Linked DNA regions of Schizosaccharomyces pombe. The protein of the gene in region 1 interacts with the protein of each later gene in a pairwise test. Each region holds a gene or a part of one and is shown on either strand. Other genes may lie near its edges. The genes, in order: ctr1, brr2 and ntr2.

Region 1 (9,017 bases):
AGCAATGAAAACAGATTTACAAAGCGAAAGATTTGGAATCCGACGCGATTTTTAGTTCGATCCCAATAGATTATTCAACCAAATTGAGAGTGTTGAATGAAGAGACGAAAATATACAAAAAAGAAAAAAAAAGTAAGCGACACGTTTATCTTCGTAGACTATTGATTTTTCAAACAGAAATTAGGAATTGAGGGTTAAAAAATAAAATGTTTTTCAGAGAACAAGGGGAAACAAACAATCGCGAGTATGTTGTAATGAATATTCCTATTCAAAAAATGGAAAAAATGAGTTATGAATTCAAATAATTGTTGCTACGCTTTTCAAATCGTTAACTGCGCTACAATGCCAAAAGACTTACGGCAAAGCCTAGCAAAAGATATAGCAAAAGAGGGAACGACAATGGAACAAAAATGGGTGATTGGGAGTTGACACAAAAAGAAAAAATTCAAACTTTGTAGACAAAGATTGATTCACAGACAGATAGATAAGTAGAATATTTTTTTAGCAGAAAATAAATATATATGGCTTACATGGAAGAAAGCAAAGGATGAAAGATGAAAAGGGGAAAAAAGAAAAAAGCGGAAAAAAAAAGAGTAGAACAGACGAGCTCGTAACTAGCTGATTAGCCAAGTTCGTAACGAAACAAAAATAATAATTGTAATAAAAAATTTTTCAAACCAAGATTGGACGACGATTTGAGGGGATCGATTAGCAACAAAGTTTAATGGAGAAGGAGAAGAAGAAGAAGAAGAATACAAGGCCTTATAAAGAGGGATTCGTTGAAAGAGGACTGTCAGTGAAAGAAAAAAAAACCAAATCACAATATATGCTGGAAAAGAAAAAGCGATAGGGCCATAGGTAACAAGCGACAAAAAAGACCAAAGTTGTAAGGGATGGATGGAAGCAAGGGGGAAGTAGAGCAAAGAAAGAAAACCAATATCTCGGGCCAAAAACAAACTAAAAGGCAACCAGTTTATAGTGAGATTGAAATGGATGATGTTAATACACGATGAATCGACAATACACAAATCACGATCCGGTAAAGAAAAAAATGGAATGGAAAGAGTTGATCAATGGGGTGTATGTAGTGTAGTGTATGGCTAATGTAACTAACTAGATAGATGTACGTATCTAATGTATGGAATGATGGAAATCAAGGATGGATGTAGGGTATGGGAATGAAGATGGAAAGAGGAAGAAGGAAGAAGGAATAAGAGAGTAGTAATGTTGAATTTGGTAAAGGATAAATTCAATTTTCTTCATGCTCCACCTGCATTAACGCAAATACGCATTTTATTAACAACACCAGTAATGTCCACTCTAAACAAATAACAATCAATGCACCTACGTAATAATAAATAACCTCGCTTAAACAGTATCAAAAACAACCACCAATGATAAGGGTGGTAGCATTCCTTTTCATAGTCTATGACTGATGATGACTTTTCATTGGCCAAGAAAAGGCCTCGGCTACCACGCTCCTGATAAAAGGACGAGTGATTGCTATTTTATCTAAGATAAGGCCCCTAATGCTTGGAGACCGATGTTATCATAGATAGACGATGTGGACGATTTTAGAAACGAATTAGGAGGAGAGAGCGGGATCTGGCCAATGTGTTGACAACGGATGATGTAGAAGCTCCGGGTAATGGAAGGATAATTTGATAACTAGGTTGCAGGTAATACGTAGGGGCGACGGGGAGAGAGTGTAAGCATACAAAGGATGTGAGAGAGAGCATAGAGAGTAAGTAGTTGTACTATGAGATTGGAGGGGTAGGAGAGGGACAAAGTAAGATGCAAGCGCATGTAAACAAACAAAGGAACTAATCAAAAGAATAAAAAAAAGGTAAGGAAAGAAAGAGAAAAATGAAAATGAAAATGAAGAAAACAAAAAAGAAAAGAAAGAAAAAAAGAGATGTAGAGGTATATAAATGAAGGAATGAATGACTGAAGGAATATGGACGCATGAGATATATATTTTATCCAAACATTCTAAATATACTCTTTAATACCTTTAAAAAAAATCAATATGAGATTTCTTTTTTTCTTACCTCCCTCCTTCATCACTTCTTTTCTTTACCTTGCTCTCTATTCCTTTCCTGTACCATACTGCATTATTTAACAACTACATTAATAAATCGCGCTTTAAAATATCAACCTGTTTTTATACCGACTTGTTTCTCTTTGGCATAAGCGTTATAGTTATTGCCAATATTCAAATCAATAGCGACAACGCCAAATAAAGACAGACGTGGTCTTTTCGCACTTATGGGTGGACGCAGCTTTTGCTAAAAGAGTCGCTGCACCCCATCTACCCCCCCCCCAAAAAAAAAGAAAAAAAAAATACAAAATAAAATAAAGGAAAACACATTTATTCTTGCTAAAAGTAAACACTTAAATTTTTAGAACTTAAGCAATTCTTGTAGAAATTTTCCCCGACCTAGCTGTTTTTGCTTTATAGTTTCGCTTCATAGTTCGCTTTACTTCCTTTTCATCTTTGTCTCCACTGGGCTTAACTGTACATACCTTTTAGCTGCAAACATACCACGTTTCAATCGAGGCAAAATAGAACGAGAAAATGGCCTAGCAAAACATTCACTTTATCTGTCTAACGAGTGCGCTGAAAAAAAAAAAAGAGCACATTCGGACGAGCAAATTAGGACATTCAACTTTTACTTAGCAATCATGCAAACTTGATTAAAAATTTACAAAAACAGCCAACTCTGGACCTTAGTAAAAAATTTCAAAACTTTTTACTTCATGAAACCCTGAGTTTTATCACTTCGCCCCCTGCGACATTTTCCTGTTTACAGCCAGACATTCTGCTGTTTGAGCAACTTCCTTGTAAACGCATCATACTATCCAAGTGCTACTTTAAATTTTTTCCGTGATCTACATTTATCTGCTGCGCACATTTCACAGGCAAAATCCCTTATGTAGCAGGCATTTCTCTTTGTTGTTCTTGAATTTAGTCAAGCCCCGCAATTTCGAGTGTGGAGACACAAGACCTCATTAGCTTTCAATGCTAACGCATTTTGTGCATATCCGTTATATTACGCTGTTTTCTAATTAAAACTTTTAAATAACGATATGGTAACGGCTTATTACGCCGTATGCGTTATACGCGGTTGGTAAAAAAAATTGCATAGTATATCGTGTCGTAATACATTTTGCACTCCAACACAATTTCACTGGGTTTGGCTGTATAATCAAATGTATGTCATTGCCGAAAACATCAAGAAACGAGTAGAGAATGATGATGGTACGATTAATATAAAAAAAATTTCAAAACGATAGAAGAGGGTTGAAAACGAAAAATAAGTTATACTAATGGAAAAAGCGCACTGAAAGGTATAAACATTAAACAACTTTCGCTTATTTTTCTAATAAACAGACCATTTTTTCTTTTTTGCAGACCTTATTCTTTCGCACTAATATTTAAACAAAAATTTTGTATTTCAACTAGCAAAAATTTCGATAAACAACCAATCAGTTCCGTTTTTTTTATTCTTCTTGCTGAAGTTTGGTTTTTTATGTGTTTACAATTTTCAGCAAAATAACGCACACCACTACACTTCGTAAAGCACCGCTCGGGAATGCTGAGATTGCCCTGAATTCGACAGCGGAATTCAGTTTTACCTTATTATCTACCGCCATTGATTTACTGAAATTCAAATTACAACCCATACAAATCAATATCTTCTAGTGATCCAATATTAAAAACGAGAATAGTAACTTTAATAATATTCTCAATTGTTTTTACAAACGTACACGGTCGGTTATAACTGCTGTTTTGAAAGTCTGAGTCATATTCCTCTGTTTCCTAATTATCATTTTCCGCATTTCAAAACGTATCTTTTAGTTTTGTATATATACTTAGTTATGTTGCTTGAAGAAATTTTGTCTTTCCTTATCAAATTTGTGGTTATTTCCGCATTCACCATTGCGTTTCTTCTGATTTTGCCAACGTTGAGTGCTATTGTCTTGGACATTGTGGTATGCGGATACCTTGCTTTGTACCGACTTTATGAAATTGGAGGCGGTTGCATCCAAAAGCCTTCAAAAGCCGTTCACCCAAAGTCCTCTTAATTCCGTTACAGTCTTAGCTGGCTTTCGAGTTTTGATTCTTTTTTTAATAGATTGTCCTTCTGTTTTTTGTTTTTAAAACATATAAGTTGTTTTCTCCTCTTAATATCCTCAGAACGTTTCTTTGCTTTGATATATTTGGCCGTCCAGTTTATTTTTTTTCCTTTTTCTGCCGCCAATTAAAAAATTTATAAAAGAATGCTTAAGTAAAGCTGACCATCCAACTGGTTATTATTTTTCACTTGCTTGTATACTCTTGCTAATATGTTTTGTGCTTTTTTCCCTATCCTTTCTCCCTTATTAATTTTATAAATACGCAACAAAAAAATGGTTCTCCAAAATACATAATTTAATATTTCACATTCATACTGATTGTGAATTCAATAATCAGAAATAAATAATTCGTTAAAATAAAACAAAAAAGAAGAAAACTACTGCTGTTTTTGGTGATTTCGTGTTCCTTTTTTCCTACAGTACTATTACATTTCTCTGTTTTCGCTAAGAAGCTTTTGTTTATGAGTCGTTATCATTACGTTTTCATTTCATTAGTTTCTACCTCAATTATTAGAAAAATGTTCAGACATCCATCTCTCCCCCAACTTTATTGCATAGTCTCGCTCAAGAAATTTCCGCCGTTCTTCAAGTTTTTTGTCTCGTAAGGTTAACACATCTTCTGTGTTTTTTCTCTGCTGTTGTGTAACCTTAGCATGAATCTCCTTTAAAGATAGAAGTTGCTCTTCTCTTTCTTTTTCGTCAAAAGAAAACTGGTAAAATGCCGTACCTTTATTCCTTACTTCCTTAGTCGAGTCATAATGAACTGCTTGCTGCTCATCTTCCTTCCACAATTTTTGAACCTTTTCTTCGTCTACTTCGAAGGATGGCATATAGTCACCGTATATTGGCTTTTCGGGCTTGTACTCCTCCTTTTGTGAAAGTAGGGTATTACCGGTCTCGTAAATAGAGACACTCCTGGTTCGCCCAAATTCATCCGTTATTTCAACTGTTTCATTTTCGGGTGCTTCCTCAGCCCATTTGCGTGTGAAGTCGACAAGGATTCCATCATCTTCTGTCTCCTTTATTTCCAGTTCTCCGGCAGCATACTGGTCGTATTTTTTAGCTTTTCGTTCCAGTTCCAGACGACTTCTTTGCAACAGCTCTTCCTCATTAGCTTGTTCAGTTTTTAAAGTTCCTTTTCTTTCCTCGTCCTTTCTTTTTTTGATAATATTACTTTGAAATTCCTTGTTGGATTTTCTTTTTTGTTTTACCAGTAATTTCCTTTTGGTCGTCTCGTTATCATTGGCTTCCAATAATTTATCGGTATACTTTTGATGGCTAATCTTGCGCTTCTCGTCCTCGTATCGCTTTTTTTCCTCAATTAGTTCATTAAGGAAGTTAAGATTGCTTTTAGCTGAGACTTGAATTTCGGATTTCTTTCCAACATTCATCTACTCGATACTTCAATTTTTTTAATTAATTTAATAATTATTTTCAATTCTTTTAAATTATTGAGAATGTGTAAATATATCAAAACATTCAAGTTATTGCAGAAAGCCGTAGTTTGCTTACTCCTGTACAAAAATAACAGGTCCAAAAGAACAGCAATTACTTTCTTCAATTCAATTATGCTTCTACAATACACTTAACCCAGTAAAACAATTACCAATTTATTTTCGTCGTTTTGGAGTTGTAAGGTGTCTTTTCCTCACCTGGGTTATTTCGCCATAGGCGCTGCGTTTCGCTATGCTAATCACAACTTCCAATCCAGTTACTTGATTTCTATCTTTACCCAGCACGACTTGTTCAATAGTACAAGTTATGAACGTTATTGATGATTGACTATTCTTTTCCACATAACGTTTTAGCCTTCATAGAGGAAAAATACTTATACACGTAAATTTTTTAATCGTTTGTGTTTACAATTAAAAGTGAATACACATTATAGCTTTAAATGTTCTTTTGATCGTGTTTATTGCATTGAGCCTGACAGTAACTTAAGATTATTGAAAAAATCATCCGAATAATTCTTATTGCTCAATACTGACTCAGAAGCGACTTCTGCACGATCTAGCTTTCAAAATATTGTCGCATAGTTTGACGTATTTGTATAAAAATATTTGAAAACATTAAATTACATACACAAGTAATATCTATTATGTGATTGGGAATTATAATTTCTTATACTTATTGTTTATGCAATTGGGGGAAGTACGAACTCACCAACGGGTCATTAATATATGTTAGAACTTTATCCTCATCACAATAAGAAGAAGCAACTAATTAAAGGATTTCATATCCAGCTATATTACAAAAGTAACTATATTAAAATACAATGCTATTCATCTTTAACTTCTTCATAAAAGGTGGGTAGCACAGCAAGCACAGTGTCTAATATAGTCAGTCCATTATCCAAAAAAGTGAACGATCCCTCTAAGTGAGTGCCATCAACAGTGTTGTTCAGTAAATCAGATTCCAAAATTACTTCTAGTCTTTCCTTATTTGTATCTTGAGAATATTTAGATCCGGGTGGATCCCAAACGATAAACACTGCTTTGCATAAAGATTGGTTTGAAAAATTCAATAGCGTTTTAGAAACTAACTTGACTGTTAAGTACTCTTGTTCAACGACTTTCCCAGTCAAATATCGTGGACCAAGAGTTCTCTGGATGTAGTCGCGCGCTTGCTGTGTAGAAAATCTACTAATTCCATCAGGCTCAAATAGTTCATCATTTGGCATGAATTTGGTATTATTGGATTCAATGAAATTGACTGAACTATCACTTGTCCTATCACTTTGCGATTTGTCCCATAAGCCTTTATAATTGTCAACATGTATACTAGCCAATGCCCGCTGCAATCTACCGGGAAGTTTAGTTGATAGCCTCTTATTAGAAATTAATTCAGTTTCTGCTTGCTCTGCTAATAAACATGCGTCACGAATATTATCTTCGAATTCTGGTGCAACATTGTTATGCAAAACACTTAGCAGAAAATTTCTAACAATTTGACAAGCTATTTGCAAATCCTCTTCCTTAGTTAGTCCAGCGTTATACAAAATGTGTGACGACCTTAAATTGATTAGCTAAAATACAACGTGAATTAAATTCAATGGAAACATAAATGACTCACAGAAATACTCCAGCAACCCACTTAAAATCAATATCATATTCATCAAGTATATCGTATTCAATATAATCAGTCGTGGTTTGAGCGGAAACTTCTCGTGCCTTCGCATCGTTATTAATATCAGTACCCCCTGTAAACTGTTTTTGGCCCGTAGAAACGCCTCCTAAATCTAGATACATTGTAAACAGTCTTATTCTTGTAGGGTCGCTCCATTTTCTGCGTGATCGATATCTTTGAATAAATCGCTCCATTCGCCTAATTTGTCAGCAAAGTCCTTAACATCTGTTTACTAACACAGTCAATGGTATGTTCCTAGAAGTGTTAGTAAGACACAATATTTTGTATTCTCACCTGCTGTATAATGTCTCATTTTCCAATTTCTCTTCAGCTGTCAGTTCGGGTTCTTGAAAATAAGGCTCCCATCCAGACAATCCCTAATATTTATTAGACGGGTTTTCTAAAGCTTAAGAAATACCCTCTTTTTTCTTCTATTACCGAGACTTTTTCCTGTACGTTTTTTAAAAGTAGTAAATTCCACGCTATCGCCAATACAACCTGTACTGTCATTTTTAAAATCACCTTCTGCCATCACTCAATCACTTCATCTGGACTGGAAAGTCAGTACACTAGTCGTATAGTTGATTTACTAGTTTATCAGTGTGGTAAGGGGAATCTAAGGAACCAAATTTACAGTGTTGTATTAGAAGCTTTGTTCATAGAGTTAAGTAGACAGTTCCTTTGCCGGATTTAGTAACGCTGGATATATTATTCTACAACCGTTTTTTGAATATGCCAGAACTCATCACTACTGTTACAATTGAATTTAGCTATATTATAATTTGATATACAAAAATATTTTTTTTTAATTTGCTTAAAATAATCGCAACCAAAGTGTAAGTAAACATGCTTGTATTAATTTAAAAGTTGAAATAGAAGCGTATTTGTAATGTAGAATCAATGATACCTTCTATTGATGCTTACCTAATTTAATAGACGAGACATTACAAGTTGAAGATATAAGACAATATGACAATGGCTCGACTACATTCTTCATTTATGATTACGGGTAAGACCACAATCAAAGTTCAACAAAAAATCATTAATTTAAAGTGCCGTATGGAAAAGCCCAAAAAGGAACACAAAACGGTCTTCATTTACTAGCTATTAGAAAGTGATCAACGATGATTGTGAGTAACATGGATTGATTAGATGAACAAGAACAAAACTAAATAAGATTCTATTTTATATTAAAACCTATCTAAAGCTATGTCAAAAGCTTCTATGGAACGTATAAAGGAAAGGTGAATACATGAACTAAACCGTAGAACAACGCCAACCATCACTGCTTTGAAATTGTAAAACCAACGGGCCCATATTTATTATCTTTATAAAGTCAATAAAACCAAACCAAACCCAAATTCATTCCATAACAAACCCAAACAAGTCATTTGTATTTGAATACTTCAACCCAATTAAATCAAATCCACAGCCCAACATTTATTAAAACCCTTTATGCCAAAAAGTTTCCCAAAAACCCAAACTCATATATTAATTTGCTAAGGTATTTACATTTAACCCATAAAAATGAACTCAATATAGTTAAAAGCCAGTATACTTAGTCAAAAGTGACTTTGTTCCCAGAAAATGGAGCAACCGAGCCACGGTTGGGGTTTCCAGAGCGAGCACCACCTCTACCGCGACCACGTCCGCCACCAAATCCACCACGGCCACCGAATCCACCACGACCGCCAAATCCACCGCGACCACCACGGCTACCTCCACCAGTACGAGGAGTTGAAAAGTCCAAA
Region 2 (12,753 bases), 440 kb from region 1:
CGAAGAGGAATTCTAGCAGCTTCCGCTCATCTTTCTATTTCTTCAATATACAGTTTCAATGTATATGAATATAAATATATACGAGTCAAAAAGTAAACGGAACCCAGGTGTTGCATAACATAACGTCTTATATTTTGTGGGTCATGTCATACCAAGTTTCATCCCCAAACTTGCATTCACTGGGACCCAAATTTTTAAACCCTAAGCTTTCATAAAAGGGGACCAAAGGCTTATGAGATATTAAAATCATCCGACTGGGCTTGGGAGTAATGGTGTGCTGACAACGGAATTGAAGCTCTTCAATGAGCTTCTTAGCATATCCGTTTTTACGATGAGCAGGATGAATAGATAGTGAATGAATAGCAATGTTTTCTCCTTTCGAATCATGTTTAGACATGGATTCGTGTGTAACAGTTTCGCTACCTGTTCTAGAAGTCAAGACATGTCCAATTAAAGTACTGGTATGTTGAGTAGGAGCAAAAAGTCCTAACTGAATCTCCGGAGCACGTTTTACCCGATCCTTAATCTATTGAGCGTTTAGTTAATCTGGCTATTCGAAAAACAAGCGTAGACAAATCATTGACAAGATAACTAACAATGAGAATGTCTCAGAATCCACTTACCCTAGCAAAAGAAGCCCTCTCTGCTTCAGGAAAGCAAATGGCTTCCAATTTTGAAACCTCTTCAACTTCGGATCTCTCGATATTACGAATGTTGACCATTACACTTTCTTGGTAAATAAGCAATCAAATACGCGCGTTCAGAAAACGACCTCTTAAACTGTTCTGCAATTTGAAGGGGGAAAATTCTCTTCTAAATCTAGTAATCGCGAATAAGCAAGCAAACAATTCACGTCGAGTTTTTCCCTTATAATTAGTAAGTACTGGCTAGGTAAGATTAAATATAGTAAATTCAACATTATATTTTGACGATATAAACGGTGTTACTTCGCACTTCAGTAGTCCTCCTTGTAAATCTCAACACTTTAGTGCTAGTGGTTCCACATTTATGTGCACAGAATAACTAATCATTGTATTCTCTTAATAATTTTATAGCTTCTGTTCGCTTATAAATATATATATATATCTAGCGATAATTGTTGAATCTACATTGGGTGGTTTATGAACAAAAACAAAATGATATCAATATGTATATAAGTGTAGTAAATACGATATTTAATATTTTTAATAGAAGCGCAGGATAAGAACTCGTGTTGCTTGATTTTTATCAGCGTATTGTAGTAGTTTAACATCTAACTCTTCGCTTCTTCAGTCTTGGGTAATAAACGTTGCATATTTTTTGAATTTCAGGTTAAAACATTTGAAAATTACTTTAACTATCTACATTACCACAGGTCTCGCTACACCTCTCCTTTCAATAGCATCACTGAAACAATTCTCCTAAGTGAACATGAAAATCTATCTTCGCATTATTTGAAAATCAAAATTTGACTTCATTAATTATAAATATATACATATGTTCATGTATTCATATGAAATCATTGCATACCTAGTAATGCATGTTTGGTTGTTAAGAATTTGCACACGCTGATGGCATCAATAAATTTGCTGAAAAAGAAAAGCTAAAGAATCAAACCATCCATTAATTAGCAAATAAATATACAATGAATTCAAAAAATAATTATTTAACAGTTCTTTTGACCCTCAAGTCAAAATTTTTAATTTGGGAATTATCCATATTTTGCACAATACCTTATTCCCCGTCTTCCATTTCTGTGTCCAAAGGTTCCAAAACGTTGCATTCAAATTCTTTTTCATAATCCACACCCATATAAGAATCGCTAAAGCAGCTCAGTTTATATTTTAAAGTTCCCATTGCCGGGGGCACAAATTCCATCTTGGTAGTCAAGGACCTACCTAAGGTAATCTTCTTAATTGCCAAGAGGGTTTTGTCATCCGAAATTACAAGCCACCAATGTTCAGTTTTTTGAGCTGGAAAGTAAGGAGCAATGACAGTCGTATCAACTTCTTCATCCTCTTCCAGTTCTCGAGTTAGTTGAACAATAAGCACAGAGGGTGAATTAGCGTGAACATCTTCAGAGTCTTCTATTTCAAAATCAATGTCAATATCCGGATATTTATTGATAAACTCTGCGCATTTGGCAAGATGTGCATTATCCATATGTAACAATTCAGTACGTTTTTCGTCATCCAAATCGATAATATCAAAGACATCATGAACACCCTCTTTATTGCATCGTTCGATTAAAGCGTCGTCGAAATAGGGTATCTGTTTTAAAGGACTATCACGATCCCATAAAGCTTGCGTAACCATTTGCGACATCTCCATTGGTCTAATACAAGCTATTAAATGGCCTTCGGAAGACAATGTATCAACACAAGCGCCCAGAAGATTATGTACCCTAGTCAAAATGAATTTCTGATCTATAACTAAACCAGGAGGCAATTCAAATCTAGAAAAATGAGCTGCAAGAAGAATAAATGATTTCGTATGAGGATCTTCATAGTTAGGATTACTTAAGCGAACAGGCAGGCGGGAATGAATTCGCTCCAGCACAATATCTTCATACTTTCGAATTGGGAGTTGCTCATATTCTGCTGCTGATGTAACAATTTCTAGTAATCCCTTCATCTTCGTGCGCTCTGACAAGCTCAAAGCAAACGTTTGCATAGTAATGTATGTAATTCCGTAATGAGAAGCTATCATTGCTAAATTTAATGCGACACAACTATCATCCTCATCGTCTACAGTGATTAAGCGTGCCTCACTCAAATCATTCATGGTTGTTTCTACAAGATCCGAAAGGAATTCAGAAACCGACTCATGAGTGATATCTTGAAGACCATAATAGGCAGGATTGGCAACTAGTCTCCGGTACATATACGACCATGTAAGCCAATCTACAGCATCTTGTTTGCTTTCAATGGTTTGCGTAGATATTTCTGACACGAAAGCATCGTGCAGCCAAACTTGAAGATGGCTTTCCATGGGTAATGGCTCATTTAAAAATTTCTTGTAATATTCCTTCTTAGTAGTGACAGTCATAAGAATAACCTGGCTAAGCTCACTTGATCCAATGCTAGCAGTAAACCCGAGCATTTGTAATAACTCACTTATAGGATAATCAATATAACGATGTTCTTTGCCATCATAGTATTGAGTACCCATCACAATAACAGCGTTTGATTTTGCTTTTAAGGAATAAATAACATCGCGAGAAGCTATCAAAACCTTGATAAGTCCATGACGGTAAAGATATTGTACAATATTCTGATCATTGGACGATGTGATTTCACTAATATAAGCAATACCATGCTTCAATGATTGCTGCAAGGCAGCATCTTCAACTTTATTGAAAGCTTCATTCTCCATTAACGAAAACAAATACTCATCTTCATCAGCCATACTGAATGTAACTAAATCAAAAGCTAATTGTTTCGCTACTTTCCTGTCAGGAGTAAATACAATAGTAGACTTTCTCTGAGAAATAAAGTTCTTCAAGCTGCGATATATAGGCTTGCTCATAGCCAACATAAGGGAAGGGAAATGAGTAATACTGAATGATTGCAAATGAATAGTAAGAGGATTAGGCCTGTCTTTAGGACTAAAATTAAATATGCATTGTGGACTAGTCCCAAGCCACTCACCCAAATCTCGAGCATTAGCAACAGATACTGAAAGGCCAACCACTCGGATATTTTTTTCTAATTGTACTGCCATGTACCGTATCCGTGAGATCACTATTTCGTATAATGGACCATAAAATCCACCAAGCAATTGTAATTCATCACATATATAAAAATCAACTTTCTGAATGCTTCGCATACTTCTCCATCTCTTCGACAATGAGTCCCATTGCGATGGCGTGCAAAATATCAAGTCAGCAACTTGTATCAGCTTCAAGTCTTGTGAACGCTCACCCGTCAATTTTACCAAAACTTTCCCATCACCGAGGTCAGAAAACTTGCCATACCATTCTTCATATCGACGATCAACGATTTCCTGAATTGGGGCAATGTAAACTGCAGTACCATAATCTTCTTGACTCCAATGATGTAACAAAGCAAGTTCGGCACAAACAGTCTTTCCACTTCCATTGGGAGCACCAATAAAAACACTATCGTTGGTTTTATAAACAGAGTTAAACACCTGTGTTTGAATCTTGTTAAAAAATTTAAAATTAGGGTAGAGGGAAATGAAGCTTGGGTTATTAAGACTAGAGACCGGGGCGTTCTGAAGATCAAGAAGAGGTGTTGGCGCAGGAAATTTTTCTGGCATTATCAGGCGCTGAAATGAAAGAGGTACCTTAGTTATCGAGTGTAACCATCGATCTGAAACTATCTTTATAAAGTAACAAGGAGGAAGAGGTTCTAACAAAGGTACTGTAAAATTTACAATATGCTCATCATCTTTGTATTTTTTAAGAAGGAAAAATTGTTCATAATGTAGCAATCGGTCCCCGTCCACGTCTTCTACAAGGATCCAAAAAGCTTCAGAAGTGCCGCTTAAATGATCATCCCAGTTGAACTGAGAATTTATAACAAGTTCGACCCGCACAAGCGATCTTGTGATAGGTTGAACATGTGCTTCGACGCTCAACCTTGGAAAAGACTGAACCATGTTGTACACACGCCTCCCTTCTTTTGGCACCCCTACTAATTCTCCTAATTCAGCAGGGTCCAGATCAAAGTATCGCTGCCAAGGAAATTCCTTTTTCTCAACGCGGCGTATTACTTCAGAAGGACAATTGGGAAACTGTCGAAGGGGGCTCATAGTTGGCCAAAGCCTTTTCTCAATCATTTTGCATGTATCAAGAGAGAGTGTTGCAACAGATGACCAACCACGTCTCAATGATATCTCGAATATTGCACGCATAATTCTACCCGCTGATTGCGTAACGTATACCATGTCTGCCACAAGTGCAAATCCATCCAGGCGTTGTCTTGATATATATGATTGGAGAAGGGCATTAATCTTGGCAGCAGGTTCATCTAATCTTTCCCTAATAGGAATTGGTACTCTTTCCAGCAACTTCGCGAGTTCAACTTTCTCTTCTTCACGGACAGGAATGTGCTTAAATTCATCAGAAAAACTGAAGACTCGAAATAACTCGATAAAGGATGTTGTCTGCATTAAAAGACGATTATATATGGCCATCGAGTTATGAGTAACGTAATAACTTGCAGCAACTTTTCCCAATTCCGTAGCGGTCAACGTACCACTCTGACGATTATACACTAGTAACTTGCATTTTTCTAATAAAATGGCAGCTGAATGAAGTAAGTCAGCTCTTTTTTGAACAAGATATTTGTCATCATCATACTCTGGGCCGACGCTATATAGGGCAGGGGATCGTAACATTCGAACATAGAGGTATGTATAACCAAGCCAGTCTACGCCATCTTCGATACTACGAACAGTTCCTAACGATACTTCGGCATTTAAACAATCAGCTAGACGGCGCATAAATTGAGACTCAATTGGAAGCTGCTGATTCATTAGTGATAGATAATACTGTAACTCAGAGTGGGCGGTAATGATAATTCCTTCACCATATGTGTCGAATTGTGGGCGACCAGCTCTGCCAAGCATTTGCAAAACATCCTGAGGAGAGAGTTCTGTCCAGATACCCTTTTCAGGAGAATAAACTTGGGTCCCTTTGATGATCACTGTGTGCGCTGGTAAGTTTACGCCCCAAGCCAGAGTTGCCGTACTCACTAGTACCTGTATAGTACCATCGGCAAAAAGGTCTTCAGACGTTTGGCGATCCTCTCGTCGCATACCAGCATGATGTATGGCAAACCCATATGGGAGCAAATCTTTCAAATTTTCATCACTGGTAGAGTCGGCTTCAGCCCGAAGAATTTCACGGGATGCGGCATCAGAGCGTAACAAATGACCGATGGTCTCTTCCTCTAGTGCCTTATCTCTTATAAAACGAGCGGTTTTAGCGGTTTCTTTGCGCGAATGTACAAATATGAGGACCTGGTTTTTGCCAGCGTGTTGCATAACTTTTTCATAACAAGCTTCATTAGTCGTCTGCATTCGTTTAAACGGTGTTTTTTCTGTAATGCCTATAAATTCTTGCTTTAAAGGGCATGGACGATATGTCGAATCGAAGTAAAAAAGCCCTTTTTTAGGGTCGACATGTAAAAAACTGGCAACATCGGTATAATTAGGAAGTGTAGCAGACAAACCTACTAATCGAACTTGTTCAAGAGTTTCCTCCTGATGGCGAAATATACGAGCAACTATAGATTCTAATACAGGACCTCGTTCATCATGAAGCAAATGAACCTCATCAATAATAACTAAACGGACTAGATTGACATAAGATAAATCATTAGCTTTTCGAGTTATAATATCCCACTTCTCGGGTGTGGTTACAATTATTTGAGTTTCACTAATTTGTTGTTTAGTCAATTGACTATCACCAGTTAACTCTGCGACTCGAATATTGTATGGAGTAAGCCTCTTTGAGAAATTATTAACCATCTCTTGTACCAACGCCTTCAAGGGAGCAATGTAAACAATTTTAAAATTTTGTAAGTTAAAGCTAAGATCTTCACGTAAATGTTTTTGTAATTCGTTAAGGATACATAGCATTGCTACATTTGTTTTTCCAGCACCAGTAGGAGCGCATAAAAGGATGTTTTCGTCAGTACCAAAAGCGATAGGATAAAGATGGCTTTGGATTCGGTTTAAAGATTGAGTATTAAGAAAAGCTTGATGAGACCATTCAGGCAGTTCCTTGATTTTTACAAGACGCTCGTCAGCGCCAAGTACGGCTTTGTTGGGGGCAGGAACATGTATTTCTTCATACCCTTTACCAGTCCTACGAAACGAGCCTTCAGGTAGCTTGACAGCTTTATTAGACATGAGACGTGATCCCTCAGTAAACACATAATTTTCTAGATCAACTTGGTGCTTAGGTACAATTTTATGGGAAGTCAAAGTTTTCGAAAGTGGAATTTCAGAAACGGGCGCAGGTTCAGCTTTCTCAACAACATTATTATTTAATTCATTTAAACCGTCATCAGGTATAGTGATAGCACCAGGGCGTAGAGCTTCGAGAATCCAAGACCGACCAGCAGCACGAATTTGCTCTTCCACACCTAAGCGTTCTTCATCAGTAGCGGCGCGTTTTAACATTGTACACGAAACTATTGTCCAACGATTCTTAGTCAAAAGTTGAACAAGATAGAAATGTTCATAATCAAAAATACTCATCAATTCATTTTCCAATTCACCGAGATCGTAATCAGCCGAAAGTGCCTCAAACGCTTGATTTGTTTTTTCCTGACAAACGACGGCGTCAGCAAAATATTTTGCTATTTCTCGTTGCAGCCAAAATGCATCGATTTCACGAGGATGAACAGTGGGTATTTCGGTAACTTTTTTGGTATCAGCAGAAATAAATGTAACCTCTGTATCCGGATTTTCAATATTCTTTTTCTCTTCTTCTTGAGATATGGAAGTTTCTAAGACGACGTCTTCATCTTCTGCCACTTCATCCTCTTCCATTGCCTCAACAGCTTCTTCCTCTTCATCGGCTTCATTGAACAATACTGGTACGCCAGATTCATTAACGCCTTCTTCATTTAACTCTTCTTCTTGCTCAACTGTATAATCTGTTAAGCGATTTCCCAAGTTAACGAGCTGTGAAAACCGATCCTGTGGGAGTTCAGTACTCAAAACCTCCTCTATTTGCTTTTTACGACCTTGTTCATCTAAAGAACTATCCTTAAGAAGTTCAATAATCAAATCAGCAGCAGAACGGAGGATTTCAGGAGACTGATCGCCAAGGTATTGTTGAATGAAACTCAAGATATAATCATAAACTTCTCGGGTCTCGTCGGTTAGAGGATTATATTTCAAAATTTCAAAAGAATCAAAATATTTAAGTATCGCTGAAGAGCGCTTTTCGCGTTCAGGTTGCCGTATACCAATTTCTAAGGATTCTGCATCTTTACGAGGTAACCGGACCTCCTGAACTTCCTGCGTCAATTCGAGAGGAAGGGTACTAGGTTTTTCAATTCTCGCTCTAGAACCCATATCTGCAATACTAACTCGATTTACCAGAGATTCCGGTTCGCCTGTAGGTTCAGCATCACGTCGTGACACAAATCTTCGATCAGCCTGCGTAACCAAATTTGACATTGCAGAATAACTATACTGTGATTGACCATAGTTTGGCTTCTCCTTACTATTTCCATGTTTGGGAGGCTCTTTCGAGTCCCCTTTAGGATGTGCACTCGACATGATTGTGAGTGGCGGAGGATAAACTGAATTTTCAATTTTCGTCTACTTCGAGGTATTAGAAGTGTTCATTTCTGTCAGCAATACTACACTACGCTATAATACACTACGTTGAGTATCACTATATGTCACATGTTCTAATTATATATCGTACCATGTATGATACGATATGGAGATTGATCTTAATGATAATCTATTAAGATCAATATTATCTGAATACTATAAATAGAGCTACTGCTGAACCTCGTTCCTCAGTTCAGTTATGAGCTATATTAGTGATAGGTAACATTATAACCCAGTTAATACAATACCTATACTCAGTTGCTACTTATACAACCTGTGTATTGTAATATAATAGATCACAAGGAAAGCTCACCGCAGTTCTACGTATCCTTAAATCAGATACCAAACTGCGTAGCTTACAATAACTGAACTCTTGTGATCTACAATTAACTCCTTTTAGGAAAAAGGAATTATTGAATAAATATATATCATAAATATATATATTTCTCTCCTTCTGGGTTCAAAGGAGAAAGAACTTTGGAAGGACTGTTATCCCTTTTGAAATCTCCCAAAGGGAAACATATACAATGTCCTACGCAAATTATCGTTATATGAAAGCAAGAGCAAAACGATGGAGACCAGAGAATTTGGATGGAATTCAAACATCAGACGAACATTTAATAAACCTTTTTGCAAAAATATTATCGAAGCATGTACCAGAGATAGGGAAATTCGATCCTAATAAGGATGTTGAAAGTTACATTTCAAAACTTGATCAACACTTTACTGAATACCCTTCATTATTCCCAAATGAGCATACTAAAAGACAGTATACATTGAATCACCTAGAAGAATTAGAGCAACAATTCGCTGAACGCATGTTTTCTGAGAATGGAAGTCTTACATGGCAAGAATTACTCAGACAAACAGGGAAAGTACAAGGATCCAACAAAGGTGATCGTTTAACTAAAACATTTGAAGGTTTTAGAAATCAATTGGACAAAGTTCAATTTATAAGGAAACTCATGTCAAAAGCAAATGTTGATGATTTCCATACTCGCTTGTTTATATTATGGATGCTGCCATATTCCTTAAGGAAATTAAAGGAAAGAAATTACTGGAAATCAGAAATCAGTGAAATTTATGACTTTTTAGAGGACAAAAGAACAGCCTCGTATGGTAAAACTCACAAGCGTTTTCAACTGCAAAATAAAAATCTAGGAAAAGAGTCCCTTTCAAAGAAAAATAACACCACTAATAGCAGAAACCTGAGGAAGACAAATGTTTCGAGAATAGAATACTCATCTAACAAATTCCTAAATCATACTAGGAAACGTTACGAAATGGTATTACAAGCTGAACTTCCAGACTTCAAGTGCTCAATACCCTGTCTAATCGATACGGGCGCTCAAGCAAATATTATAACAGAAGAAACTGTTCGAGCACATAAACTGCCTACCAGACCCTGGTCAAAAAGTGTGATATATGGTGGAGTTTATCCAAATAAGATTAATCGCAAAACAATAAAACTTAACATAAGTCTAAATGGAATATCAATCAAAACAGAATTCTTGGTTGTAAAGAAATTTTCGCATCCAGCTGCTATCTCCTTCACAACATTATATGACAATAACATTGAAATATCTAGCAGTAAACACACGCTCTCTCAAATGAACAAAGTTTCAAATATTGTCAAGGAACCTGAGTTACCAGATATCTATAAAGAATTCAAAGACATTACTGCAGAAACCAATACGGAAAAGCTACCAAAGCCAATAAAAGGGTTAGAATTTGAAGTTGAACTAACTCAAGAAAACTACAGATTACCTATCAGAAATTACCCGCTACCACCGGGAAAAATGCAAGCTATGAATGATGAAATTAATCAAGGATTAAAAAGTGGAATTATACGAGAATCTAAAGCCATTAACGCCTGTCCAGTAATGTTCGTTCCGAAAAAGGAAGGCACCTTGAGAATGGTGGTTGACTACAAACCTTTAAATAAGTATGTCAAACCCAATATATATCCGTTACCACTTATTGAACAATTACTTGCTAAAATACAAGGTTCTACAATTTTTACTAAACTTGACCTCAAAAGTGCCTATCACTTGATACGAGTAAGAAAAGGAGATGAACATAAACTTGCTTTTCGCTGTCCTCGTGGAGTTTTTGAATATCTAGTAATGCCTTATGGCATATCTACAGCTCCAGCACATTTTCAATACTTTATCAATACAATACTTGGTGAAGCCAAAGAATCACATGTAGTATGTTATATGGATGATATTTTAATTCATTCAAAATCGGAATCTGAACATGTAAAACATGTTAAAGACGTTCTACAGAAATTGAAAAATGCGAACTTAATTATCAATCAAGCAAAATGTGAATTTCACCAATCACAAGTAAAATTTATAGGGTATCACATTTCGGAAAAAGGATTTACGCCTTGTCAAGAAAATATAGACAAAGTCTTACAATGGAAGCAACCTAAGAATCGTAAAGAATTACGACAATTTCTAGGTTCTGTCAATTATCTTAGGAAATTCATTCCAAAGACATCACAATTAACACATCCACTCAATAATCTTTTGAAAAAGGATGTACGCTGGAAATGGACACCAACACAAACCCAAGCGATAGAAAACATTAAACAATGTTTAGTTTCTCCTCCGGTGCTACGACACTTTGATTTCAGTAAAAAGATTCTACTGGAAACTGATGCTTCAGATGTCGCTGTAGGAGCCGTATTGTCTCAAAAACATGATGATGATAAATACTATCCTGTTGGATACTATTCAGCAAAGATGTCTAAAGCACAATTAAATTATAGCGTATCGGACAAAGAAATGCTTGCAATCATTAAGTCTCTCAAACATTGGAGACACTATTTAGAATCCACTATCGAACCTTTCAAAATTTTAACAGACCATCGAAACTTAATTGGTCGCATTACTAACGAATCCGAGCCTGAAAACAAACGTTTAGCTCGTTGGCAATTATTTTTACAAGACTTCAACTTTGAAATTAACTACAGACCTGGATCAGCAAATCACATAGCTGATGCCTTATCCAGAATTGTTGACGAAACAGAACCAATTCCAAAAGATTCAGAAGACAATAGTATCAACTTTGTTAATCAAATCTCGATAACCGATGATTTTAAAAACCAAGTGGTTACAGAATATACGAATGATACAAAATTGTTGAATTTACTAAACAATGAAGACAAACGAGTGGAAGAGAATATCCAACTCAAAGATGGCTTACTAATTAACAGTAAAGACCAAATCTTATTACCTAATGATACTCAGCTGACTAGGACAATTATTAAAAAGTATCATGAAGAAGGTAAATTGATTCATCCAGGCATTGAACTTCTTACAAACATTATATTACGTAGATTTACGTGGAAAGGAATAAGAAAACAAATACAAGAATATGTACAGAACTGCCATACATGTCAAATAAACAAATCTAGGAATCATAAACCTTATGGACCTTTACAACCAATTCCCCCATCAGAAAGACCTTGGGAATCTTTATCAATGGATTTTATTACAGCTTTACCAGAATCATCTGGTTATAATGCACTTTTCGTGGTAGTTGACCGATTTTCAAAAATGGCAATCTTAGTACCTTGTACGAAATCCATTACAGCAGAGCAAACAGCTCGAATGTTTGATCAACGAGTTATTGCTTATTTCGGCAATCCAAAAGAAATCATTGCAGATAATGATCATATTTTTACTTCCCAAACGTGGAAAGATTTCGCACATAAATATAATTTCGTTATGAAATTTTCGTTACCATACAGACCACAAACTGATGGACAAACTGAGCGTACAAACCAAACTGTGGAGAAATTACTAAGATGTGTATGTAGCACACATCCAAATACATGGGTAGATCATATATCCCTAGTGCAACAATCTTACAACAATGCGATACATTCAGCAACTCAAATGACACCTTTTGAGATAGTACATCGCTATTCACCAGCTTTATCACCTTTAGAGTTACCTAGCTTTAGTGACAAAACTGACGAAAACTCTCAGGAAACGATCCAAGTATTTCAAACAGTTAAAGAACACTTGAATACAAACAACATAAAGATGAAAAAGTATTTCGATATGAAAATACAAGAAATTGAAGAATTTCAACCTGGAGACCTAGTTATGGTCAAAAGAACGAAAACAGGTTTTCTTCATAAATCCAATAAATTAGCACCTAGTTTTGCAGGACCGTTCTATGTGTTACAGAAGTCGGGTCCAAACAACTATGAATTGGATCTTCCAGATTCAATCAAGCACATGTTTTCATCTACTTTTCATGTTTCTCACCTAGAAAAGTATCGACATAATTCAGAACTCAATTACGCTACCATTGATGAGTCTGATATTGGAACAATTCTTCATATCCTAGAACATAAAAACAGAGAACAAGTACTCTACTTAAATGTCAAGTACATTTCGAATCTAAATCCGAGTACTATTATGTCAGGAT
Region 3 (9,147 bases), 1.7 Mb from region 1:
GCTTCCAATACAACATATACTTTGCCGACCCTGGTAAACACAGGAATAATTTGCTCAATTATTTCTGGTAAAATGCCCAAAGAATTAGCTATTATAAAACTTGATATTACAGTATTAAAATTCTCTGAGTAAAGTTCACAAGTCCATGTGAAGAGATGCTGAACCTCTAGCTCATAATCATTCGTTTTCTGGCTAGTAGCTTCAAATGGAGATCTAGCAGGGAAATCACGGGCCAATGACTTCAGCAATTTAACATACAGAGCCATAATCAAATTAATCACAGAAGTTTTCTCCAACAGTAATTTGGGGAAAATACTTAAATTTGAAACACAATAACTCCCAAATTTAATTGAATCAAAAAATCCATAACGTTCTGAAAGCATTTGTAATTGCTCAGAAACCATTAAAAATGATCCAACTGAGACGGTTTCAGAATTGACAACAAACATATATCGAGGTGAAATGCATAAACTAGAGGAGATGAAGGGAAAAACGGTTTGTGAAACACCAATTGCAGCTAATGAGTTTGAATACCAATCCCACCTTAAAAGAGATTTATCCAATATGGTAGAAGTGCCAATGATGTCCAAAGACATGCTATTAACAAAAGCTAACTCCATATCATCGAATAAAATTATTATAATGCTACTAGAAGGAAACCACCAGAGCTTCCAAATTGCTTTGGCAAATTTTTTTCTATCCATAAGTTGTAATGACATGTATCCCTTGTGAAAAGTAACCGAATACAACCTAAGGTTGTTGTTATATGCTGTAGCAAAAAATGCATGCAGCTTGGTATTCTCACCGTTTTTATGAACTATACTTGAGGAAAATGAGTGACAAGCAGAAGAAACAATTCCGGCGGGATATTTGAATTCATAAATAAGAGTAGTTTTAGGAAAAAGAGTCACAATTTGAATCGATTGTAAAGATTGGAGTACAACGAAAGAAAAATGCTTCACACCTGTAATGTGAAGTTCTTCAAAAGATATGCTGGAAGTATCGACAATAATAGAGTCTAAATTTAAGCTATTTGATTTTGACATATCTAGATTCCAGGAAGTGCAATGTTTATTAATAACCAAATTGTAAAACTCGTGAACAGCAATTTTACCGAGATGATCGGTAGAAAGTAAAACATCATCAGAATTACCATTAAATACGAGGTGTGTCAACACAGAATCTTCCGAATGTTGATTAATTGTAAACAACTGTAGGGGAGGCTTTCGGCTAACATCCCAAACAAAAATAATGCCACCAGCATGTCCTTGGCATACAATTCTTTTAGAATTCGAAATCGCTAAAGAAGTGACAGGTAGAGTAACGGATTCATTAGAAGATAAACCAGGCTTGAGGATTTGAAAGTCATTCGTTCGCCAATCATTCAACAATACGTGTCCAGAGGATGTTCCAGCTACTAACAACGTACCTTGATAAGCGATAGACGTGACAGTTGCAGGCTGATCATTCATGGTAAATCTGAGTTCTCTCAATTGGGAAGAAACCCTGCGTAACTGTCCCCAGCGCATCCAACAATCATTCCATGAATATTCATCTTGCCTAAAAGGACGATTGGAAGCATGGATAGCAGTTGAAATTCCAAGGGTGGTGCTTGCGGCTTCATTGTCAAAAGACGAGCTATTAACGGAGTCCTTGGAAAAGGAAAGAGCTCTTAGTGTCCGAGTATCATCACCATTTTTTATTTTTAAGGAAGATCTACCATACTTGGATTGCATGATTGCGAGACTCAATGTGAATGTGAATTGGAATCAATTGTTAAGAGTTAAAGCTTCTTCAGCATTTACTCAAAAAACAGTATTTTCTACTGTCTAGAAAAGTATCTAATGATAAAGCTCAATTCATTAGGGAATCCGTTGTCTAATGTAACGGTTGACAGAGGTCATAGAAAAAGACAAGAACCTTAGCGTTCAGCGTTAATGTGCACTAAATGAGTGTCAACAGAAACAGGTGCTTTGAAAAATGTAGAGAAAAACAGAGTTGTTAGGAATATTTAAAATTATTTTAAATTATCAGTCAACATATTCAAAAAAATTCCGATTTTTCAAAATCAAAGTGAACAAATACTGTATAATATATCATGAAAACAGCATGCAGTCATTGAGCATAAATCATCCAATTTCCATTAGTAAATCAGACTGACTAGTTCCGCTGGATTTATACTTTATTGAAGCATCACTGGAAACATTAAGATGAGATTCGATGGTGACTGCACCAAGATCTTCGGATGAAGAAGAGTACTTAACCGATAGCTTAAAATCATCAGGAGAAGGAATTGAAGACTTGCCAGATGATTTTCCTGGCTGCCGATTCGAATTCAAGAGCAAAAATAGAAAATCCCGTTTCAATTTCTTTTCCAAAGGAGAGATCACAGAAAGTTGTGTCCGTGGAGCTTCGTCAGCCTCTTCTGTAGGCTTATTTATGCTGTCATCTTCTTCCAGTTCAGCATCCAAGTCTTCTACAACAATTGTGTACTCATTTTTGTAGTAAGCTACACGCTTGCAGGTTGGCATTTCAATATCAGAATCTGCACCGACTGTTAATATATTGACATGGAATAAAGGATATTGTAAGAGAATTCGCTTTCCCTTTTAAATTTATTCAAAAGGTTAATCGATAGTATACATACCATCATATTCTGAAGTATCCTCTATTGTAAGCTTCTTCAATGGCCTTTCGATAATTTCGAGGATTCTTTTCGTCGAATAATCATCTTTTGACGCATAATAGCTTCTTTTCAGAGCCATTGAGACGATAAAATGACAAGTCTTATTGTAAACCCACTTTTTGGCAGTAGGTAAAATGTATTCTCTTCAACACACAAAATCCATTGTAAGTGACAATGCTACTTACTAAAGTTTTGAATACTCAGAGGCTATAACTTTAATATGTGATAAAGCTAATGAAATCTTCTAGCAATTAATATCTATTATCTCCATAAATATCGGGTCATTATTTTTTTGTAATTCCCGGTGACTTCTTGGCACTGTTTTTCTATTTCAACAAGTCACCGATGGGCTGTAACAGCTAATTAATACTGTACAAGGATAAGAGTTCTGTAAGAAATGTAAATCTAAGTTATAGCGTTAAGTAAATTTATCGACCATGTCTTTCTTCTTTGTTTTTTTTTTATCAATTAAAAAATCCAAAGTAAATCAGGATTTGCTTTTGGTAAGGTTGTTCAACAAAGTTTTATCTAAATCAATGAAAGAATGTTTAATCTTTTCCTCTTGTTCATTAATCTCGAGTTCTTCTTCCATAAGTGATTTAATAATCTGTGAACGCTCCTCCTGCTGAAGCTTCTCAGAAGCTATTGCTTCTTTTAGCCGCTGAATTTGTTCATCCATTGTAAGAATATTAGGAAGCTTCACAGAAAGTCCATTTGTAAAAGCAGGAGATTCTCCAAAGGCACCTTTCTTGATTTGAGTATGTTCCCATGATTGGATGGGCTCTGCTATGTCTTCATCGTCCAATTCCATCTCCATATTTTTCTGGTCGACGGCCATTTGAATTGATCGTGTCCGTAAACTTTCCGAGCTATGGTGGTATATTTCTTGAAGTTTTTCTGACTCCTCCACGTAATTTTCAAATCCAGAGTAACCTTCATCTTGAATTTCGTCTTCCGTTTGAAGCAATTTCTCTTCTTTATGATTTTGTGCCAACATCAGTTGGTCCCCTGTTTCAAGTGAAATGTAATTATCCGTCATCATGGCAATGTTTCTCTTTCTTCCTTCTCGATCCTTTAACTCCTTAATCATTGCTTCCTCAGGAATGCCTTGATTAAGCATATTCCATTCCAAACTAGTATTAACGGGTAAAGGAGGTGACGATCTTGTTTGCAATTCGCTTTCTTTGGTCGAGGAATCCTCCTCCTTCTTTGTAAATTCTGATGGTGTCTGCCTACTTTTTCTCTTTAACTCATCCACATAAGCATTGGAGTATCCACTTTCATGCGAGAGAGCATCCATTCTTCGCGATATTCTTTATTAATTAGATAACTAATACTTGGACTTAAAACATTTTACTTACAAATCATCAACCGAATGAAAAGAGCTTTGCTTTTTTACCTTTGGAATCAAAGGGATTTGAGAATCCTCCCCATCGTCGTCTCCTTCCTAATCAATGTTTGTTAATATAACAGATGAATTGGTAAAACGTTTTCCAGCAAAAAACAACTTACCTCGTTCTCATATTTCACCCTAAATTTTCCCGAATTTTTTTCTTTCGCTTTTGTTTTTCTTCTATTTGCATTTTTGTCTAAGCATTGTTAGTACACTTGCGATAATAAGTTCTATTCGAGCCCAAGCACTTTTGCGCTTTTAAGTTCTTACTTGATTGAGAAACGTTTAAATTTTCTTCATGCTTTTCTTCCTCATTGTCGCTCGTTTGCACGATTTTAGGCTTCGCCTTTTTTAAGTATCGTCGCATGTTGGTAAATGGGTGCTACTTTCTAGGCAAACATATTTCTACCAATCTTTCATATTGAATAGCTATTTTTGTAAAAAAAAAATCATATAAAGTCTTAATTAAAATGATGTTTTTATGTTCTGTGAAAATTAGAAAGGGATAAACATAAATGTCTTTACTTGGGCATTTAATATTATGGCACATACTGAAGAGGTGCATCGGATAATGCAAAGCATCAGAAAAGTATTTGTTCAATTGACTTACATTTTTTTCGACTAATTTTAGAGAAATGTGTTTGAAATTCAAGTTTCAGATTTAAAACTTTTAATTGAAAAGCTACAATCGACAAGCTACCAATATCTACTACAGTCACTGGAAAATTTCCATTATATAAGTTGAAAACAAAAACAATGCTTTTAATTATTTAGAAAATCAGAAGAAAAAATAACAAAATTATTTTTTGGAAAGGACATTTTAAAATAAAACATATAAATAACTCATCGATCCAAAAAAAAGATTTGGACGTTTGAAAAACCTCAATGGAAGTTTTCATGTACATATGTGCATTAAGGAACAACAGCAATGAAAGAAAAATAAAACAATCATAAATAAAACAATCCTTGGCACAAATAATATTCAACAGTTATAAAAAACATCACAAGAGAGATTTAACATACAAGAATAAAAACAAAACAAAATAAAAAAAATCACGAGAGCACCCTTCAGTTCTTTAAGACATTAAACTAACTTGATCAGGAGCCCTCGAAAACTTATACGGATGCCTTTGAAAAACGAAAATAAATAAAAAATTAAAACAAAAACATTAGAAATAAAACAAGAATATTCGGGAAATCCCTTCACTTAAGAAGAGAAGTGGAAGAAACAAATAGTAGTAGTAGTAATGCATTTCAAACATCATAAAAATAATTTATGAATCGCGTGACAAGCGTAGAGAAGGTTGCAAGTATTGACCAGTACAATTAAATGTAGAATAAGAACGAGGAGGCAAGCGACCTCTCAAGTTCAAACCAAAGCCGGATTTCTCCAAACCGTTTTCATTTTGCTCCAACTCATGACGGAGATCAATTAGTGAAGACTGACGCTCCCTTCCTAGGTTCCAAGGCCTAGAAGCTCTCGCTTGAAATGCTGAACCATTCAAAGAAGCAGGTTGCTCATCATCAACCAACTTTAAGGAGGAAACACGTGTTAATAAATCTTGAGTAGCAAAGGAGTTATGATTGTTGCCGGAAAAAGGCTGCAACCATTCGGGGAGCTTCACACTAGGCTGGACCTTTGCAGAACCATTAATTTTTGAGGATTGCAAAACAGAAGACTGAGGATACACCTGTCCGCCTACCAAGCCAGTGGCAGCTGAAGGGAAATGGGAAGAAAGAGGTGTCAAACCTGAGCCACTACCGGACAACGTAGGAGAAATGGAGGCTGAACGAGACAAAGGAGGTGGAGAAATGGTTGAAAAATTTACGGAGTTCATGCCATTGATTGAGGAAACAACGGAGTTTGGCAACAAAGATTGCGCAGCAGCAGTACGAGGTGAAACAGGTGCACTCTTCAAGCTAGAGCCGGATGAGTTTGAGCTGCCAGAGTTTGCTCCAATGACAGATTGATTCATACCGAAAATTTGGTTAGCGGAAAGAGTTCTGTCGAAGCCCTCATCTGAAACTTGGGATTGAGATTGAGACAAGGCAGATACAGGAAGCGTATTATGACCCCACGCGAGGCGGATATGAGAAGTACCAACTAAGGCACCCTGCATAGTGTTTATGGCCTTTTCAGCAGCAGATTTTTCACTGTACTGGACAAAGCCACATCCCTTGCCAAAGGGAATCTTGATGTTCAAAATTCTTCCAAAGGGCTGAAAGCAAACTTGCAAATCTTTCTCGGATAAATTGCTAGCCAAGCCACCGACAAACACCGTAGTGTTCAAAGGATCCATGCTACAAAGATCTTGATTAGGCTGGCGGTTAGAAGTAGAAGTAGGAACGATACCAAGGGCAGAATCGGCGGCGATGGAGGCTCTAGACTTTGGTGAAGCGACAGAGATGCGTAAGGGGCGACCTTGACACAAATAGCCCTGCATATGCATCAAGGCATGTTGTTGTTCTTTCTCACTTGAAAAGCGAACAAAGCCATATTTCCTGCTGAGACCGGTAACGGGATCGACAATGATCTTGGCTGAGGTACATGAGGGATATATGGAACGGAAAGTCATAAAAAGATCCGAATCCTCGGTAGTGGGAAGAAGGTCGCCAACGAAGATACTAAACTCAGGATCACGGGAAACAAAGTTGTTATGTTGAATGCCGCCACCAGTAGCCCAGTTAAGCTTGAAGGTACAGTGAGCACCAGGAATCATGGTGTTATTATACTTCATCAAAGCACGCTCAGCAGCTGCAGAAGAGGAAAACTGAACGAAGCAATAGCTGATAAGCGTTTCCGAAGAGGATGCTTTGGAGCGCATGACTTTAACGTTGACAGGTTCGTTGAGGGAAGCCCAGAGCTGTTGAATAAAAGTAGCGTCCATCCAAGGTTCCAGGTCACCCATCCATAAGGTGTCGCTCATTTTCGAGCCAACACCTGCTACATCTTGAAGTGGAGTGGAGCTAGGAGAACAGTTGAAAGGAGCCACAAGTCTCTCCAAAGTAGGAGAAACTAACTCTGATTTGCCCTCATCAACCACAGGGGAAATGGGGGCATTGACATCTGAATTAGAAGCTGACATTTTCGAGGTTGCTGGAATAGACGAATGCAAAGGGACGAAGGAAGTATCAAACAATGAAGAACGGCGATAAAGGCAGTCAATAGACATTTAAATAGATATCCAAAAAAAAGTAAAAGAAAGTAAGTAATATGAATGAACAACAAAGTTTCAATGAGACACAAAAGTCAAAAAACGTAACCAGTATAAGACAATGGGTGGTAGAATCTTTCAACGATGAACAAAATAAAGCTTAGCTTATAACGTACAGACAAATAAATCAAGGACGAAAAAGCGAGAGGTCTAAGAACTCTTGAGATGAAGAAATGCTAATAGAACAATCAAGAACAATTTAATAAAAAAAAAAAGAGAAATTTTTTTTGCTTGCGTAAAGTGTAACGGTAAGAGCAAAAAAAAAAAGATTCAGGAATAAAAGAAGTACTAAAACAAAGTGTTACAAAGATCGAGTATTAAAGAGGATTGGAAGAATAAAAATCAAAATCGATCTGAAATAAAAGGAAATTAATAAATGAGATGGTTTCGCGGTAAAAAGCTTGTTGAAGTGAAAATATAAAAAAAAAACACAGAAACAAAGTTATTCGATTGTTGATGAGACAAAAAGCGAAAATACAATCCTTAATGAGGCGTGAAAGAAAAATTCGTTAAAATCACTGAATGGGTACACGAAAAAGAAAACCTGATGGTTGTGATGAAGCAGGGTTCTTCAGTTTTTATTTTAAAAATAATAAAACAAGTAATACAATGTACGAAAGAAAAAGGAAACAACGATGAACAAGGTCTCTTCTGAAAATTATTAGGTATGAAGAATAAAAAAAAGAAAAAGAAACCAAAGGTTGGAAGAGAGAAAATAAAGAAAAGGAAAAAAGAAAATCGAGTCGAGTTAATCAATCACAGAAAGAGAAGAAGAAAAGAAAATAAAATAAAATAAAAATATATATATATGTGCAATAAAAAACGAAGGAACCTGACAGGGGGGACAGAAGTGTTTTCTTTGATGAAGTTAAAGAACAACAGCAACAATGACAAATATATATATATATATTATATTATATTATATATTATATAAATATAATATATATACAATGCAGGAAAAAGAGGTGTCCGTATATTATAGGTTTATATATATATACTGTGCAGTATATGTATGTTATAATATATAAAGAACAAACGAATCCTTTTGATATCGAGTAGTCCTTTTTTTCGCTAGTGATATAGCTAAATAGGAGGATACGGTATGCGAGGAAGTAAAAGGGAAAATTTTCCTTCTCGAGAAAGGTAGAGTTTGAAAGAGACGAGAAGAAGAATGGAAAAAAGATACCAAAAGCAGTCAGTAATATATAACCAAGTAAGGAATCTGCAAAAAGGTACGGAAAATTTAGAGGGAACGATAGAGTAGGGAAGAGGAGAAATCGTTCAATAGGGGAAAAAGAAGAAAAATGAAAAAAAAAGTGGTGATAGGATAGAACGCTGGAATGCTAGAGGAATTCGGTAAAATACAAATAAATAAGTCACGCAGCGAAAAAGAGAAAAAAAAAGTACAACCGGTTCCGAATGCAAAGCGAAGCAAAGCAAAGTAAAGGAAAGAAAGGATGAACCGTTGGGAGACGAGTGAAAAGTAAAAGTGAATGGGAGAGAGTAGGAGCGTGTCCAGACTAGGCAAGCACTTTAAATAGCGAGACCTTAAAAACGTATACACACAACAAGGGGGGTACGGTGTGTAATAAACACAAATGAAGTATGGGCTATGCAATCAGCTAGGCAACACAAGACAAGCAAGGCGAGGGAAAGTGGCGAAATCCCAAGAGAGCAATAAGGATGCGTAGCGAGGAAAAAAAGCGAGACAGCGATGCGCACCGGTACCGAAAACCAAAGTCCGAAAAATGGATGTAAGATTTACGAGGTTAAGAATCGAAAGAGGACAAGGGAGAGAGACAGAGAGAGCACAAGGCAGTAGAGAGAGTATGTGCGTGAGAGAGAGAAAATCA

What was found.
Region 2: the proteins of ctr1 (region 1) and brr2 interact in a two-hybrid assay, tested with the Schizosaccharomyces pombe proteins (one study listed by BioGRID).
Region 3: the proteins of ctr1 (region 1) and ntr2 interact in a two-hybrid assay, tested with the Schizosaccharomyces pombe proteins (one study listed by BioGRID).

The regions. Positions count from the first base shown.
Region 1 is NC_003424.3:1,898,833-1,907,849, reverse strand, and holds ctr1 (protein ctr1), read right to left. Parts: upstream 5,775-9,017; 5' UTR 5,532-5,774; coding exon 4,644-5,531; 3' UTR 4,009-4,643; downstream 1-4,008. Other genes in the region: SPOM_SPAC110.06 (uncharacterized protein), read left to right, coding at 2,030-2,122; arb1 (argonaute inhibitor protein 1), read right to left, coding at 6,419-7,151, 7,213-7,464, 7,504-7,521, 7,561-7,643, 7,685-7,798; gar2 (nucleolin), read right to left, coding at 8,825-9,017.
Region 2 is NC_003424.3:1,457,016-1,469,768, forward strand, and holds brr2 (U5 snRNP complex subunit Brr2), read right to left. Parts: upstream 8,265-12,753; 5' UTR 8,245-8,264; coding exon 1,714-8,244; 3' UTR 1,430-1,713; downstream 1-1,429. Other genes in the region: SPOM_SPAC9.02C (polyamine N-acetyltransferase), read right to left, coding at 128-526, 624-722; Tf2-1 (retrotransposable element/transposon Tf2-type), read left to right, coding at 8,832-12,753. UniProt on the Schizosaccharomyces pombe protein: Involved in pre-mRNA splicing. May be involved in endoplasmic reticulum-associated protein degradation (ERAD) and required for growth at low and high temperatures. Required for pre-spliceosome formation, which is the first step of pre-mRNA splicing.
Region 3 is NC_003424.3:3,565,094-3,574,240, forward strand, and holds ntr2 (spliceosome complex disassembly protein Ntr2), read right to left. Parts: upstream 4,453-9,147; 5' UTR 4,447-4,452; coding exon 4,350-4,446; exon of another isoform or gene 4,276-4,349; coding exon 4,199-4,275; exon of another isoform or gene 4,134-4,198; coding exon 4,048-4,133; exon of another isoform or gene 4,000-4,047; coding exon 3,174-3,999; 3' UTR 2,889-3,173; downstream 1-2,888. Other genes in the region: WD repeat-containing protein Vps8, read right to left, coding at 1-1,736; SPOM_SPAC17A2.07C (uncharacterized protein), read right to left, coding at 2,130-2,545, 2,648-2,765; RNA-binding protein Csx1, read right to left, coding at 5,354-7,252.